2 linked regions of the Pelodiscus sinensis genome follow. The protein of the gene in region 1 interacts with the protein of each later gene in a pairwise test. Links are inferred from orthologs where the notes say so. Each region holds a gene or a part of one and is shown in the gene's direction. Other genes may lie near its edges. The genes, in order: SETDB2 and ARL14EP.

Region 1 (9,113 bases):
GTAGAGTTAAGGATAGAGTTACAAGCAGTTTTAAAAGTGTACTTAGGAACAAAAGGGATCCAACAAATATTTGTCAATACTAGATGGAAGTGGCAGCATGGTGAATAACAATGCAGAGAAGACAGATATGCTCAACAGAAATTTCTGTGTTATACCTAGGAAAAATTTGACATCATATGGCTCTCTTTCCACTAGTATTTCAGGAGGATGTTAACTAGAAGCTACTCAAGTGAAACATTTTAAAATCAGGTTTAAATAACTTGCAACCAATAATTTTAAAAGCTGTCTGAGATGGTCATTGGACTGTTAATGTTTATTTTCAGTAAATCTATAAACACCGAGTAAATTCCAAAAGACTAGAAGAAAGCTAATTCCGTGAAACTATTTCAAAAGGTTAAATAGGGATGATCCAGTAATTATAGTCTGACACTGATCTTGGACAAGACAATGGTGCACTGAAATGGGATTAGCTTAGTAAAAATTAATTGAATAATGCAATTAAAGCATCTCATCATAGGTTTATGACAAACAATCCTGTCTAACTTTTTTTAAAAGATTAGATTACAGTGTGGTTAATAAAGGCAACAATGTTGACATAAGACTTATTTAAGACATTAGACTTGGTAACACATGACTTTGTGATTAAAAACTTTATATGTAAAATTAATGTCACACAATAAATGGGTTAAAAGTGGCTGATGGATCTCAAAAAATAATTGTAAATGGGAATCATCATTGAACAGGTGTGTTTCTAATGGAGCCCTGCAGGGATGCTCTTAGCCATATGGTATTTGAATATTTTTATTAATTATCTGGAAGAAAACACAAAACTACTACTAATAAAGCTTGCAGATGATATATTGTGGGAGTGGTAAATAATGAACAAGACAGCTCACTGATACTAAGCAATCTGGATTGCTTGTAAAATGGATGCAAGCAAGATTGTTTCATTATAGCTTCATGTAAACATATATACCTAGGAACTAAAAATATAGGCCATGCTTATGGAATGGGGGATTTTATCATGGGAAGCAGTGACTCCAAAAAAGGCTGGGGGTTGTAGTGAATCATCAACTACTGATGAGCCTCCATCACAATGCTCTGGCCAAAAAAAGCTAATGCAATCCCTGTATGCATAAGCAGAGGAGTCTCAGGTAATAGTAAAAATTATTCTCTCTCCGTATTTGGCACTAGTGTAACTGCTGCTTCAATACTCCATTCACTTCTGCTGCCTAAAACTCAAGAAAGATGTTGATAAATCGAAGAGGATTCAGAAGAGAACCATGAGAATGATTGGGGTATAAGAAAAATGATGGACTAAAGGAGATCAAACAATTTAGTTTAACAGACTTGTTTTTAAATGTACAGAATAATACAGCTACATAGACTTTTTAACCACTGAAACTAACCAACGGTGGAACTGAATTCCACATCACTAACAATTTTTAAACTCAAGATGGATTTTTTCTAAAAGATATGCTCTAAGAATTATATTGAAGAAGTTCTATGGCCTCTTACCCAGGTGGTCAGACTAGATGATGACAATGATCCCTTCTGGCCTTGGAATTAAATCACTTATATTTGGATTCCTAATATTACATTTTAGCAATCCATGCAGGCCTGAAAAGAAGCCCAGGCCCATTTTGCTGTTCGCAAGCCATGAAATATATAACCACTATACCAACATACAGATACAAATTCTTCTTAACCTAATCAGGTGAATAGACAATGAAGATAGTATGTAGGAATATGAGAAATTGTATTTATTTCTCAATCTTTTTTCTTCCAAACAAACAATTCTAAGTAGCATCATTCAGAACAAATACAAGCATACAGGCAGTCCCCGGGTTACGTCCAAGATAGGGACTGTAGGTTTGTTCTTAAGTTGAATCTGTATGTAAGTCGGAACTGGCGTCCAGATTCAGCCGCTGCTGAAACTGACCAGCAGCGGCTGAATCAGGACGCCTGGGGCAGAGCAGCTGGGGTGCTGCCGGGTTGGTCCAGTAGCGTCCAGAGCGGCGCTGCAGGACCAACCGGCAGCGCCCCAGCTGCTCTGCCACAGGCGTCTGGAGAAAAGCCTAGTCTGCTGGGGGTGGAGGGGGCGTACTAGCTTACCAGGGAGACGGGGAGACCAGGGAGACGGGGAGCAAAGCCTCTGAGGACGCCAGCAGCGGGACAGCCGCGGGGCGTCTGGGCTGTCCCGCTGCCGGCTTCCCCAAGGCTTTGCAAAGCCGTGGAGGGGCTCGGGCAGCGGGGCAGCCCAGGCGTGCCTGGGCTGCCCCGCTGCCCGAGCCCCTCCGCGGCTTTGCTCCGCGTCTTCCTGGTCTGCAGACCAGGGAGACGTGGAGAAAGCCCTGGAGTACACGGGCGGCAGGACCGCGAGGTCCCGCAGTCCGTGTCCTTCAGGGCGAGCCCCGTTCGTAACTGCGGATCCGACATAAGTCGGATCCGCGTAAGTCGGGGACTGCCTGTACTTAAAAATCAAAGGTGAGAAAAAGTGTTTACACAATGTTTGGATTCTCATGAAATAATCACAATATCCCCAGCATGCAGATTTTTATGGAACAATACATCATGAAAAGAATAAGCAAATGTTTAGTTCTATTCCATGTTAAAATACTCAACTTGGGAGCTAAGTAATAATCACTACCAAAGTGCACATACCAACATAATAAAAATATAGGGAGACATTCCTATAGTTTAAAGGTAAAGCTGTTTTACATATAAGTCAAGTTTAACACTGTACTTTGATATATGACTTTGGTGCAGCAAGTGACTTATCCTGTTATGAAATACATTTGCGGTTAACTATTCCTTAGAATTTCTATTTGCCTGTATACACAGTGGTTTATGTTAAAAGGAAATATTGTCTCATTACCATCAGCTCACATAGTTATATTCTCAGAGCAAAAAAATCATGAAAGGGTTTTTTGAAAATGTAAGCCATTATTTTAAATAAAATTTGTCTTTAAAATATTTGGCCCAGTCTTGTTTGTGGTAACATCAATATTAATAGCCCTTCTCCCTATACATGTCAGTTACTTATCATCCACTACTCATGAACTAACTAGCGAACTTCAAACACGTTCTATAAATTTAAAACAATGAATATGAAGTGGCAGATATTCCACAAAAATTTGATGTCATGTTTCCTGGTTTAGATAGTCATTGAACAAAATTGCGTTCAATGTTTTTTCTTTTTTTCTTGAATATTAATTAAATTACTATCGCAAGGTTGGAGGCAATCAGGCTATTATGTTAGATTTCAGTCTAGAATATAAAATTACTCTGCAAAAAACACAAACATGAACTGCTATATTCCATTTAAACAGGATATCAGTGCTGGAAAAAAAATTGTGAAAAGTGTATTATTATTTTTCAAAAGTATCTTGTAAACTCTGCTTTAAGTTTTCAAATGTCAGATTTTAAAGCTGGTATAAGATCTATAGTAACAGTACCTTTTTAAATAATCTAAATTATTGTAAGAATTTGCATTTCCACACTGCTGCAGCACTATTAGGTGATGCTAAAGCACTCGGAGTCACAAGAGACAGCCTGAGAGGACAACTGAAATAATTCATTTACTGTATTCATTTGTGTAACAGCTAATATTTTAAGTGCCTGCTGCTTATTTACACATGGTAGTTGACCAGAGTGACCCAGCAGACAAATAAGGAGCTCAACAGATTATCTGAATTCTTATAATTACTGGATAGTTTATTTTAAATTGTGTTAAGTTTAAGGAACTTTCTACATCTTAATAGGTCAAATTCTGCAAATGAAATTATTTGCATTAAGTACAATATGTAGGTATCTGATCCCAAGAGATCACAGACATGGAAATGTTTCCCCCGTATCTGCAATGAGACAGTTAAGTACTGCTTGCAGTCTTACCCTGAAGACTACAATTTTGGCCTGTTTTAGCCTTGTAAAACAAAACTAGTCTAAAGTAACACACAGAAGGTGAGAAAGATGAATTGCGCCTCAGCCTGAAGCACAGCTCAGCAGCCAAACCTGGAAATGGTTTTTGAATAACCACCAACCTCAACACTATCTCTCTGCACTACACCTTTTTAAGAGATGCATCCCCTGCCATGTTTCCAGCCTTCAAAAAGGCCAGAGCCTTATTTCACTCTTTACTGACTACAATAACAGAAAACATAACTTTAAGATCTAGCAGCCAGGGTAACAGAAAGCAATGAGGAAGCCCCACAACTCTCAAGCTTCTCTCTCGCTGTAACCTGTGTACTACAACCAGCACCTAACACACCAGGAAGACCGGTCGGCGTCAGGAGTGCAGTACAAAAGGAGACCAAAAAACAGGACTATGTAGCACTTAAAGTGTACTACAAAATGAGACCAAGGCCGCGCAGCAAAGGGCACCGGGCAGACAATCACGTGCAACAGAAGAAAGGTGCTAGGTTTCGGGCAGCCCCCAACCTCCTGCGGCGCGTTAGAGCACCAGCAGAAACCCGCGTTCCCGCTCCACCGGGCAGACTTTCCACCGCGATGGGAACTAAGAGGCCGGAACCATCCAAGTCTTTGGAAGAAAACAAACCCCTTGAATTAAAAAAACCCAACGCGCCTCCTAGGGGTGAACCCGCCTTGGCCCTCAATCCACCCCCGGGGTTAACCCCCCTCCGCCCGGAATCCCCAGGCTTGTACCCGCCGCGGCCCCCGGGGTTCACCCCCCCTCCGCCCGGAATCCCCAGGCTTGTGCCCGCCGCGGCCCCGGGGTTCACCCCCCCTCAGCCCGGAATCCCCAGGCTTGTGCCCGCCGCGGCCCCGGGGTTCACCCCCCCTCCGCCCGGAATCCCCAGGTTTGTGCCCGCCGCGGCCCCGGGGTTCACCCCCCCTCAGCCCGGAATCCCCAGGCTTGTGCCCGCCGCGGCCCCGGGGTTAACCCCCCCTCAGCCCGGAATCCCCAGGCTTGTGCCCGCCGCGGCCCCGGGGTTCACCCCCCCTCAGCCCGGAATCCCCAGGCTTGTGCCCGCCGCGGCCCCCAATCCGCCCCCGGGGTTAACCAACCCACCCACCCAGCGAGAGGGACCCGGAGCCTAACCCCGCCTCAACAAACTCCGCCCCTTTACCTCACCCAACATGGCGGACGAACCCACCTTAGCCGCCACCGCCGCTCCTCAGGAGCTAGTCCTGATGGCCCGATTTCATTGGCCACCCTACGGCACCACGAAAGGCCACTCGCAGCCAATGAAAAGTGAGGACGGCGCACGAACCGCTAGACCCGTCTAGCTGCCCTTCGGGATAGCCATTGGCTTCCCCTTGCTCCACCCCTGATGCGCGCGCGCCGGCTACTCTGCGCACGCGCAGGCATTCGAGTGCGTCCAATCCTTTCATCGCTTTCGAGCGACACCGGGTTCAAACCCCGCCTCATGGCCGGCGAGCTGTGGTTGCTGATTGGTGACTGAGTGGCGCTAGTTGGGGGAGCCTACGCCTGGCGGCCATGTGAGTCCAACGGAAGGAAGGTCTGGAACGGGGGGGGGGCAGATTCCGCTCCCGAGGCAGAGCCTAGCCACGCCCACAGGAGGGGTGTGGCCCGTTCGGGTAACGGGGCGAGCGAAGGGCTAATGGGTGGTCGCCTGCGAAGGTACCGTGTCCAGCGCCGGGGTTGCCGCGTTCGCTCCGCTGCTAGTGGCTGGGGGGCAGGCCCTGCGGTGCCCGGTCTGTCCCCTCCCCGGCCCCTGCGGGTTTTGGAAACTGATTCTGTGCGGGATCGTTAGCGAGGCAGCGGGATCGGGCCTGGCCCGGGAAGCGGGCTGGAGCTGAACGGGAATATCTCCGCAGTTAACAGCTGGCGGTCTTGCCTAATGTATTTCGTCCCCCTCTCTCCTCCAAAAAACAGAACCGGAAAATGCAGTTGGGTCAAACCTAGCTGTGATTATTGAAATTTTCTTTCTTTGGCTAGATTGCAAATCTGTGCCAGATCTTTTGGAGTAGTTCTTATTTAAAGAGCATTTCCCCCACACTTTTACAAATCAGTGGTAAACAGACACTCCAACGTGTCCGTATTCCTAGTCCTCAACCTGCAATCAGTCGTACACGTGCTTAAACAAAATACAGGACTATGTAGCACTTTAAAGCCACATTTTAAAGCTACATTTTAAGCACGTGCTTAAGTGAGACGTCTCACATACTACGGTTAAGTCAATGGGCATGCAATCAAGCATTGTGTGCAAGCTTAGATCCTCTTATATTACCGGATATTGGGGTTTGATGGCAAATGCCCAACTTGATTTAAAAAACAACGACAGATCTTTGCTTTCTTTCCTTGGGATAATAGGATCTTAGATAATATCCTTTTAAATATATTTTAAAACTGTTCATTTTAGTGGTAGTGTACTCTTTATTACATTCATGTTTCTGGTCTCTCTCTGGTGGCAAATAATGCTCGTTGCTAGGTCTTGGAAAACAATCACTATAAATTACTTTAAAATTCTTTTTTTTTTTAACTTACAGAGAAATGGAATTTTCTTGGCCCAAAGGAGAATGAAAAGTGGTTTCATGAGACCAAAGGAGGTGCTAAGGTTTTTGGAGAGATAACATTGCAACAATAAAGAATTGTTGGCAACTGAAGATTTGCTTCTTGTTGCTTGAATATTGGTTTTCATTGGAAATTTAACTATGCCCCTCATTCAGCATGGAATCTGGCACTTTCTCTAAGAGCAATATAATAAATTGAGGAATAAGGTTCTAGGACAGCAAGTTCATAATGTTCTATTTTAGCCTGGATTTAGTGCAGTAATGTTCTAACTGTTTTTTGAAGCACAACGTACATGTATGCAACTACTTCAAAGGATGGAAAAAGAAAAAAGTAAGATTTTTTTTTTTAATAAAGCATTTTTAATAGTCATTAAACACCTCTTTTGAGGGAGTTTTATATAACTAAACTGGGTGGGATTGGCCAGCCTTCATGACACAGTTTGACTAAAGCCTCTGAGTTTGTACTGATTTTTTTTTTTTAAAGAATGTATATATCATAGTGGTTTGCTCTTCTCGTGATTTTCCCTGTAAATATCTTCTGAGGCAATGCTCTTTCAAATGCCTATTGTAGTTAAAGCTAGCTGAGTGAAAGCTGTTTGGAGAATCTTGGTAAGAAGCAAAAGGCTGCCAGCATCTAATTTCTATGTAATCTTTTTATCTAGATACCTATAGTGTGCCTGGCACAATAGCATCTGAGTGCCTGGATGTAGAGACCCTTAGCAATGTCGGTGGAGAGAGAAGTGAAGGTGATGTCATCTATATATTTTTCATTATGGGGGACTTAGAGGAGGTGTCAGTAAATGAATAATGCTTGTGGGAATGACAACCTGAAGACTGAAATTGTGTCTACCATTGGATATGTGTAACAAGCAGCTGCAGTGCAAGTTCCCCATTTTAAGCTAGAGAGAGACCACCTTGAGGGCTAAGCGAGCAATTACTAGAGATGTCAACATGTAGATACATGATTAACCAATAAATTTGGGCTTATGGGTTATCTGGTCAACTACATGCATGTTCCCTTCCTCCCCACGCCGCGCCCCCCCCCCCAGCTGCCTCTGTATCGAGGGAGGAGGGATTGGGAGCCGGTGCCCATGAGGAGTTGACCCATGATAGAGAGGCAGCATCACAGAGGGTAAGGGTGGCAGGTGGGAGCTGATACACGCAAAGAGTCTGTTTTCAAGCAGGTGTGCCCTGTGCCTGCTGGCTCTGCAGACCTGCCTGGCCTTCTGCTTGCTGCCTCCTACAACAATCCCTCAAGGAGTAAAAGCATTTTGATTAGTGCAAGCATGTTTCACAGGATTTGTTGTCCGTTAAGAGTGCTGACATAGGACTGTAAGTGTGTGTGTGTGTGTGTGTGTGTGTGTGTGTGTGTTCAAAGGTGGCTATTATGGATGTAATAGTGTAGTTGATTAATCGATTAAGCAATAGCATTATAGGTTAATGCAATAGACTACACACATTTCCCTCCCCCTCCCACCATCTGCCAGTACATTTTTTAGCAGGTTAGCCAGCAGCCCGGCTCAGGCCTGGCTCACAACCAGCCCAGGACCTACCCCCACTGCAGCTCTGCATTTAAAGTATATTAGGAACTGGGTGGGCAGGCAGCCCAGCTCAGTTCCAGCTAATGCTGGGTCTGGGAGCTCAGAACCTCCCTTCCCCCCAACAGGGGCTACTGCCACTTCATTAGAGGCAGCAGCACTGTGAAAGGCAGCCGGTCTGTGAAGGGAGCTAGTTTAAAAAACAATCTCCTCTCATGGACCAGCTCCTGCCTGACACACTGCACTGCTGTCTCTGATCCAGTGGCTGCCAAAAAGAATTCATGAGGTTACTCGACTATTCAATTAACTGATATTTAACATCCTTAGGGCAGGAGTGGCCAACCAGTTAGAGACTAAGAGACAAATAGCTGTGGTTAGAGTGCGAAGAGCCATGTATTATATATTTATTTTTATATATCTATATATAGATATAGTACACAAAATATAGTGATAAAAATAACATTACAAGACATTTTGGACAAAACCAATAAAAAAAAGTCTCCAGTCACTTAAAAAATTCATGGCCGGTCCATAGGCAGAGAACTTGACAAGGAATAAACATCAAATTTAAAAAAAAAAACCTTTAAAAATACAGTAATATTTTCACACTTAAAAAAAAAAAGCATCCCCACCATGTATTTTAAATTTAACACTACTGCCCTACTATGTCCTGTGAGTTTTTTAAAATTAAACTGAACTGAGAAGTAAATTACCAGAATTTGAAGTGCCTGTTTCACTCCAGCTTGTTGATCTCTGGTATGGTTTCCTCTCTATTTAAATAATAATAATAATAATAAATAAAAAAAAAACCTGATGAAGACTATGGTTTTTTTATAGTTCTAAAAATTCAGGTCTGTCCCAGACTGCAAATATGATAGGTTCAAAAACAATAAGGGAGAGACTCATATCTCAGAATAATTGCTTCAGCCTGGCAAACAGTATCCTTTCAATTTTCTTTAAAGAAACACAGTGTAAACGAGTAACATGCTGATTCTTTTTTTGCCCTGGAATTTAAATATGACATCTGTGTTGGCTGCCTTATTCTGCATGTATGAAGACTTTGTGTTTAAAGTGCTT
Region 2 (9,071 bases), on another chromosome or scaffold:
TATTTCGGAATAACATCAGTTATTCCAAAATAACGCTGCCATATAGCTGTACCCCGTGGGAACTAGTAGCTCATTCTATCACTGCCACCATTTGGAATTACAAACTGTGATCCACCTGTGGATATATATATATATATATATATATATATATTACCTGCTTTAATCTCTCTAATTCATTTCCTTTTTTTAGCTAATAAAACATACTAGATTACTATTGATTTGGCTATCAATGTTGTCTTTCGTGTAAGATCTTGAGTACTAACTGCTAAGTGACTGGTCACTTGGGACTGGGAGCAACCAGATGTGATATGATTTTTGGTGTGACCATTTTATGTTATCACAAAATCCAGTTTGTCTGGGTAGCAAGATAAACAGGGGAGTATAAGGAAACTGTCTGTGACTCCATGTTAAGACTGGTATAATCAAGGAGCTCAAATTTGTCACTGGGTTTGTGCAACTTAATTATAGAACACATCACCAGTTTGCAACGTCTACCTTATTTTTAGAAAGCCTGCCCTAAGGTTAACGTGACGGGGCGTTCATGCCTCATGGCCAGGCGGCACTTAACACCCGCACTGTGGAGAGGGGAGGGGCAGCATTCTGGAGAGAGAAGGCCCTGATCCTGCATCGCTGTGGTGCGTGCACCCGTGCTGCTAGCCACACAGGCGTTGGAGAGCCGACGCAGGTTGAAGGGAGTGGATCCGCCTGGCAGGGACGCTTATATGGCACTGGCCAGCATCTTAGGGAGGGGACCAGGTGGAGAGGCTGTGCCAGGCAGAGCAGGGCCAGCTGGATGGTTTGGCCTAACCCTGGAGCACCAAGGGGGGTCCAAGGGACAGTGGCAGCTGTTCATGGGCTTTGTGCCAGCCACAAGACACCTGGGAGAGACACCGGGGACCGAAGGCTTCATCATCGACGAGTAGACAGGACAGTGAGGACTTTGTGGGTGGTAGGAAGCAGCCTAAGGCAAGGGTAATCTGGACTCCATTCAAACGACCCCGCGGGTTGGTGAGTTGCGAGCGGCAGCCCTACCAACTGAGCAGAGAATTGGCTCCCCTGCTCTTAGGGCCTTGGGCCAGGATCCAGAGTGAGGAAGGGCCTGGGTCCCCCTACCGTCCAATGCTGGTCCACGTGGGTGAGTTACGCTCATTCCAGGAACAAAATCCTGAGTAATTGTTCACTGGAGAGGGCCTCCCAATGCAAACCAGAGACTTGGTAGGATGGACTTGAGTTTAGGGAGAGCAGGGACAGCGGCCCCCGATCAGGTGGGCCTCATTACCAGGGGTGGTTCAAAGGGGACAATGGGTCCCAGATACGTATGTTATATTCTTTTTGGTTATAAATGTACTAAGTGGGTGTTAACCCGAGCAAAGACTCATACGTGGAGTGTTTATTGGTGATTAGTAGAAAGGGATGTCACCGACTGTCCATCGATGATGTGACAGTTAAACGTAAAAAGCAACAAATGCCCTAAGATTGGCATTCAGTCATGAGCTATTCCAGACAGGGTGACCCCTGTGAACTTAAGTGTGTCTCTTCATACTGAAGTATTTTTATAATTTGTATTTGGTAATTATTTAGGCAAAATGCCCACTGAAATCAATGGGAACAAAATAAAGTCAAAAGCTGCACACAGCATTAACAATTGGCCAGGTTATTTTATTTTTTGCATTATTGTTAATCATGTTGTCTCAGCTAGTCACAAGTAAGAATTGCAGTATTTTGCTTTGAGTCTCATATGTGATTTGTTCCCACTCATAGGCCTGAGAACCCCATACTGGCCTATCTTCATTTGACATGGCACAGATAAGAATACAGTAGTAACCATAGTGAGAAATAAACTCTTTTCAAATTAGTTTCATTCAAGAGTTTAAACTAAAACATTCGTACTATAAGCTTCCTGATTAAAAATGCATGGTTAGTCCATTTTTGTTGTTTCTTTTTAATACAATCTACCACCACAAACATGAAGATGGAATTTAAAATGTCACTGGAAGACTCATACTCTAGACTAGGGCTACTCACCAGGTGGCCCGCAGGTGGGATCCTTTGAACATGGCCTTCACTGGGAACATGTTCCACAACTGTGAGTCAATATAATGGTCTTCAGTTGATATGCATTTTAGTAGTTAAAATTCCTGGACTGTCATTGCTCATTAAAAGTGCTGTCATTTGCGTGGAAATTGGGTAAATATTGCATTTTATTAATATCAGCAGAACTGACTTCAATGGGACCTGCATGTTGTGTAGTCTTGCCTTAATCTTTGTATTCATGCCCATCAGTGTGAAAGAAGCTATTTGCATATATATTTGTATGTATATTTGCATGTATATGCAACTAAACTTAAGTTGAGACTCTTGGCATGTGCTGTGAGTATCATTGTGGTCCCTGAGGCTTCCAAAGTTGAGTAGCCCTGCTTTAGAGCAATCCCAGTGAATACCATTTGACTGTAATTTAAACCGTTTGGTGGTGTCAGCACCTTAGCTGTTTACCTTGTTGCATCTTCCAAAAACAAAAGCTGAGCTTGACCCTAAATCTATCTTGAACAACCACTGTTGACAGACTACTCCAATTGAAATCTACAGTCTCCAATAAAACAGCAACAATTACGTAAAAGATTTGAATGGTCTCCACTACATCTTTGTATCCACATAGGACAAAGTTGTGGCATAACAATGTTGTAAGGTTTATTTCATGACCATGTATAAATGAACACATTGCTTTGGTTCCCTAAAGTATTTCATAATACTTTATAGTGTGCCATGAACCAATCATCCCACAATCAGAATGATTGAATGAAAAAAGGAAAACTTGGCAAATAGAACTTTTCAAAATTGTAAATATGAAAAAAGTGTAACTGGAATGACTTCACTGCACAGTAAGTCAAAAATGTACCAGTGGAATAGTTTTTCACTGTAAAAAAAATCTCATTGGGAACTAGAATGAATCAATGTTGCCAAAATTTCATTAGGGGAGAAGGATCAAGGAATTTGAAGTGCAAGTGGTGTTCTCATCCATCCTTCAGGTTGAAGGAAAAGGTCTGGGTAGGGATCGTCGAATTGAGGAAGTAAAGGCGTGGTTGTACAGGTGGTGTTGGAGAGAGGACTTTGGTTTATTCGACCATGGGACTCTGTTCCAGGCACAAGGATTGTTAGGAAGAGATGGTATCCACCTAACCAAGGCTATGTCTACACTGGTGGCTTCTTACGCAAGAACATCTTCCGCAAGGGTTCTTGTGCAAGAACTCTTGCGCAAGAACACATCCAGACTGCTATATGCAAGATATGCTTTTGCTCAAGAGTATCCATGGCAGTGTGGACACTCTCTTGTGCAAGAAACCTCTGATAGCCATTTTAGCCATTGGGCTTTCTTGTGCAAGAAACCCCTGCCACGCATCCACACTGCACTCTTGTGGATGAGAGCTTACACCTGTTAGAAAAGAGCGTAGCTCTTGCACAAGAAGCCCTCTCTTACCACGCTTTACTGTAAATCTTCTTCTGCAAGAGTGGGTGGGCAGTGTTGATGCTCTGCAGAAGAACAGCCATTGTTGCACAATAACCCGTCAGTGTAGACATAGCCCAAGAGAGGAAAGAGCATCTTCACGGGCAGGTTTGCAAACCTAGTGAGGAGGGCTTTCAACTAGGTTAATTGGGGGATGTTCACCAAAGCCCTGACGTAAGTGAGGAAGTCAGACACCAGGAAGAATCACAAGGAGGAATGAGCAACAAAGGAGGACCCCTGATTCGGATGGAGAAGGTAGGGCAATCAACTAGTTATCTATGGTGTTTGTACACCAATGCGAGAAGCCTGGGAAACAAACAGGAAGAATTAGAACCCGTGGTCCAGTTAAAGGACTATGATTTGATTGGAATAATGGAGACTTGGTGGGATGACTGGCATGACTGGAGCACTGTCATGGAAGGGTATAAACTGTTCAGGAAGAACAGGAGGGGGAGAAAAGGAAGAGGAGTTGCATTGTATGTAAGAGAGCACTATGATTGCCCGGAGCTCCAGTATTTAGAGGGAGAAAAGACTGTTGAGAGTTTATGGGTTAAATTTAGAGTGGAAGCAACAGGGGTGATGTTGTGGTTGGTATCTGCTATAGACTGCCAGATCAGGTGGATGAGGTAGACGAAGCTTTCTTTGGACAACTGAGTGAAGCTTCCAGATCACAGGCCCTTGTTCTCATGGGTGACTTTAATCACCCTGAAATCTGTTGGGAAACCAATACAGCAGTACACAGACAATCCTGGAAGTTTTTGGAGAATATTGGGGATAACTTCTTGGTACAAATGCTGAAGGAACCGACCAGGGGCCATGTGCATCTTGACCTACTGCTCACAAACAGGGAGGAACTAGTAGGGGAAGTAGAGGTGGGTGACAACCTGGGAAGCAGTGATCATGAGATGGTAGATTTCAGGATCCTGACCAAAGGAAGAAAGGAGAGTAGCAAATTACACACACAGTATCGTGTTATTATTTTGTCCCATGGAGATGATCCATTCAGAAACATGCAGGAGTGACCTTATTTGGAATGGAATGTTTTGCTTCCTTTCAAAATGACTTTTTACAGTGTATTCACTGACACACCGTTTGGGGTACACTTTGTATACACTTTGGAGTTCAGATTTGGAACCCAAAACATGTCAGGCTATAGAACAGCTCTAATGAGGAGCTCCCCGCTTGCCTGGATCCAGCCCCCAAGGCTCAGCCCCGCCCCCCCTGCACTGGGGAGCCCCTGCTGGCGCTCCAGCTCCCCTGCTGCCCCACCAGGGGACAGGATCACTCCATGGGCTCTTGCGTGTGCGGAGGCCGCATCACGAGGGGTGTTTTATTTTGTTGCCTCTCGCTCGTGTGCAGCCCCCGCCTGCTCTTTCCCTAGGTCAGTGCCCCCCCGTCGGAAAAGGTTCCCGCCCGGGGTCAGAGCACTGGTGGGAGGGCGGCAGCTGACTCGGGGTTCCTGAGTCCCGCGGAGTGGCACGAGACGCCCCCTCGCTCCCCCCCCCCCCGCAACTTGCTCTCAGGGCCCATGACGAGCTACACGCGCGAGAGCCGCCGCCGGGCGCTAAGGGAAGCGTCGCGAGCTGCAACCCGCAGGCGCGGCTGCGCCTCGCGGTCACGTGAGCGGCGCCTACCCTCTCTCTCTCTGGTAGTGGTGCGGTGCGACGCTCTAGCCGCCCCGGCGTCCTCGCTCGCTGCTCCTCTGTGGTGCGCGGCCAGGGTTCATGGCGGCCCCTAGCACCGCGGTTCTGGTGGGGGGCCCTCGGGAGCCGGGTTCCGTGGCGGCACAAGGGCGGAAGAAAACCTACGGCAAGGTACGGGGCGGCCTCTGAAGGGGGCGCAGGGGCCGGAAGTGTGTGTGTGTGTGGTGGGGGAGGGGCAGAGGCGATGCTGGGCCGGGCCGGCCCTGTCTCGCGGCCTGCGTGTAGCCGGGTCTGCGGCGGGGCGAGGGGCGGGCAGCCGCTTCCTTCGTCGCCCTGAGCTCCGTAGCGCTGCGGAGAGCTGTTAGCTTAGCCCCGGCCCCGCTGCCTTCTGCTGCAGGCTGCGCCAAGCGGCCTCTCGCCTTCTCCGCCACGCGTTTAACTTGGGTCTCTCCGCCTTGTGGTGTGGACTCGCCGCCCGTGACTGTACATCTCTGTCCCCAGCGCTGCTTGCGTGCGCGTGTCTCTAATAAAGCTTGCTGTGCGCCGCGCGTTGTCTCTGTATCCCGTTTACTCTGACCCCGCTCATTTCCCCCTACCTCCTGCTCAGGCTATTAAATAAGAGCCAAGTGCAAGATAATTCCACTTGGCTAGTATCGTACTGAGATATATCTAGCAAGATAGGCTGGAGCTTTCCACATTTCCATTGTTTCCAAGCTTGCCAGAAGTAGTGGCTGATGCTGTCTCAAAACTAAAGCACATAAAAAACATCCAACATATTTTTAAAAAATGGGGGGCTAAAGCTAGTGCTACTGTTTGGATATAGATGAGCAATGAAAAGCACCAATTTGGGAATGGGGAGACCCAAAGTTGCAGCTTCTGGTTTGTTCTTCCATTTTTTCCTCATAACACAGTCTTATTGTCTAGTTGTATTTAATTTCCTACCACCTTTGCTTCAATTTTCAGCAGTGCTTCCCTGCTTTCCCACAGCACTGCTCCTTCAAGTATTCTTGGCTTGGCTTACATAAGTGCTTTATTGTGCCTTGAGCATCTGCATCCCAAATCATTTTGACTTGTTTGTTTGATCTGTTCAAGCAGTAAATTCCGATTCGGAAATCCTGGAGCTGTGAATACAAGATCTTTTTTTAAAATCTGGTTTTGCTGTGTGAAATTTTGAACGGTTTCATTTTGCATGTTTTAGGTTTAAAACAATTGAATATACTTCTACCTTTTCCAATTTTGAAATCCATTGGTTTCTATGTGTATACTAAGGATGTTAAGGACTAGTTGGCTGTCCTCCCCTTCCTTCCCCCCACCTCCTTGCTGTGTGAGGCAGCAAAGGGGGGGGGAGAGAAACAGGGTACTTCAAAGCAGCAGCACCGCACAGTTGATCCCAGGCTGAGCTGTGCAGTGCTGCCCGTTTGAAACACTGCCATGGCATTTCAAAGGGGCAGCGCTACATGGAGTCTAGGGTCAGCTCCATGCAGCACTAATTTGAAACACTACTATGACATTTGTGTGGAGCCCGGGGTCAGCTGGGGTTCCAGTGCAGAGCTGGTGGTCTGCTGGGGAGTCCCCAGCTTACCCGGGCTCCACGTGGCATTTCAAAGCAGCAGTGCAGCATGGAGCCCAGGGTCAGTGGGGGACTCTGATTCCCCCGCTGATGCCAGGCTCCATGAGGGCACTTCCACTTTGAAAAGCACAAGAGCCTCCGCTGGGGACTGATGTACATTTCAAAGCTGGCACTCGTGTGCAGCCTGGAGTCAGCGAGACTTCCCGCTGGCCCTGGGCTGCATGTGGAGTTCTGCATTCCTTCTTTGAAATGTACTGGAGCCCCAGCTGGGGCTCTTGTACATTTCAAATAGGAATGTGGAAGTGCCTTATCGAGTAATTGATGGAAATTCGACTATTTGATATTTAACATCCTTTTAGTGTCTGCCAAGCATGCACATGTAAATCAAAGGAAAATTATAAACTTACTGACCTATAAACTTTGTTTTATTGTTGAATGCACAGTGGTGTCCCATAGAAATGGTGCTTTCTCAAAGCAGATCACAGGTGGAACTTCAGGTACTGCAATTTTACATTAGTGCAGGTGTCTAATTAGTGCAGGTGCCCAAAAATAGCAATTGAAAAACTGTCTGGCAGTTTTGTTTTTAAGGAAAATAGATGCAGGCAAATAACAAGTACTTTTACTAATCTTATTTTAAATTCGTCTTTCAATTTTTCAACTTTTGAATGTATCTGCAAAACTGGGAGCTTGTTTCACCTTTTATCTAGGAGAGAAAGGAATCATTCAGAAATATACATGTAGTGAAGGATAAAACAAACGTTTTTTCTCTCTTGCACATACTCAGACCCAGACTATAAGTATACAGCTTACACCATTGCCAGAATCATTCCTTGTCTATTATAATTTTACCCAAAACACATTTTTGGTAAAGGCTGTTGAAAGAAATGTTTTATATTGAATGTAATTATTTGTATGGTCCTGTATGGATTATACTCTAAAATGTAATTTTTGAAGCATAAGATTAAAATATAAGTACTTATCTAGCAATTATTTTGGATAAGTGAAATCACTAGCAAAATAAAGCTTGAAAAATGTTGGAAATCTTAATATACTTAAAATAATCATTTCAGTTCCAGTGCTCCCTCTAAGCTGTGGGGCAGTACAGCTTCACAGGTGATTAATCAGCCTGCTTAGCAAAGAGCCAGGAGTCTCTCTGACTGGGCTGGGCTGATTGTTGCCCAGCAGCTTAGAGGGAACACTGGTATGCTCCAAAGCAAACCCTGATAAATCTGACTTGTTATATTCTCAGATGGTAAGTTCTGAAAACAAAAAGTCAAAAATTTATATACCAGCTATAAGACTTAAAGCTTTAAAGGCACATTGTCAAAGGGGAAGAAATAGCTTTCTATTGCTCAAAGTAAAAATTGAAATTCTTATAATTCAAAAATATTAGAGAGGAAAATATCTAGTTTGTTTATATTAAGCAAAACCATAAAACTGACTATAAATGAAGAATTGGCAGGTAAACAAACCAATCAGTCATTTTGGCCAGTTTCTGTGGCTCTCTTAAAAAAGCAATGGAGGGTAGAAAAATATATGAAAATAAATAGAAAGTTGGTGGTAAAGCCACAAAATTTGACAGGGGTTCTGGATCAAATTTTAATTGACTGCATTTTGGTTTGACAATGTTCCTTATAAAAATGAATGAAGAAATAATAATAGAAAAAATACAGAAAATCTTCCGATGCCACTAAGGCCGAAGACAAGTGTAAGCTAATACATAGAGAAATGGGAGTTATGTTGAAATGATGTGTCTTTTTTCTATGTATGAAACACTTTGATCCAAAATATCGGAAAGACTTACTGAATGTATGGAATTTATTTATAGTGGAGAACAAGAGCATTCTGTAAAAGTTGAAGTGGACTCCAGCCCATGAAAGCTTAAGCCCAAATGAATTTTAGTGTTTAATGTGCCACCTTAAAGACTTTCTGAAATATGTAAAAATTAATTCTCTGGTGTCATGGCTCTAGTTCAGATATATACACATTTCCAAATGAACATACAGATTATAAGAGCTTACAAATTCTAGTGACGTCCATAAGAATTTGAAATAAAAATTTTCTTAGCTCTTAAGTCCCCATTGGCTTCCACATTTTAGGTGATTGTAGAAACTGAAGTGTATGAAGTTACTTTCTGTTATGCAGACCTTAAGAGTTTTTCATGGCAAGAGTTTCAATCAGATCTCACTGTTGACTTTTCAGATGACCAAGAATTTTAATTGAGTGGAATCTAGATAATCTATGTTTGATTGTAAATACGTTCCTTAAAATATAGGATTGAGGGCTGTAGTCTGAAATCAGGCAGTCAGTGCATTTCAAAAATAGCTAACAAAAACATACTTGCTGCTCTTAACAT

What was found.
Region 2: the proteins of SETDB2 (region 1) and ARL14EP interact in binary tests that used the Homo sapiens proteins (3 or more experiments, as listed by UniProt). The two-hybrid records come from large-scale screens. The link is inferred for Pelodiscus sinensis from reciprocal best matches to the Homo sapiens genes SETDB2 and ARL14EP.

Annotation. Positions count from the first base shown.
Region 1 is NC_134711.1:289,767,711-289,776,823, forward strand, and holds the start of SETDB2 (histone-lysine N-methyltransferase SETDB2), read left to right. Parts: upstream 1-5,292; 5' UTR 5,293-5,463; intron 5,464-5,470; exon of another isoform or gene 5,471-5,605; intron 5,606-5,611; exon of another isoform or gene 5,612-5,874; intron 5,875-6,474; 5' UTR 6,475-6,795; coding exon 6,796-6,829; intron 6,830-7,160; coding exon 7,161-7,244; intron 7,245-7,570; exon of another isoform or gene 7,571-9,113. UniProt on the Homo sapiens protein: Histone methyltransferase involved in left-right axis specification in early development and mitosis. Specifically trimethylates 'Lys-9' of histone H3 (H3K9me3).
Region 2 is NC_134714.1:95,809,343-95,818,413, forward strand, and holds the start of ARL14EP (ARL14 effector protein), read left to right. Parts: upstream 1-5,157; 5' UTR 5,158-5,316; intron 5,317-9,071.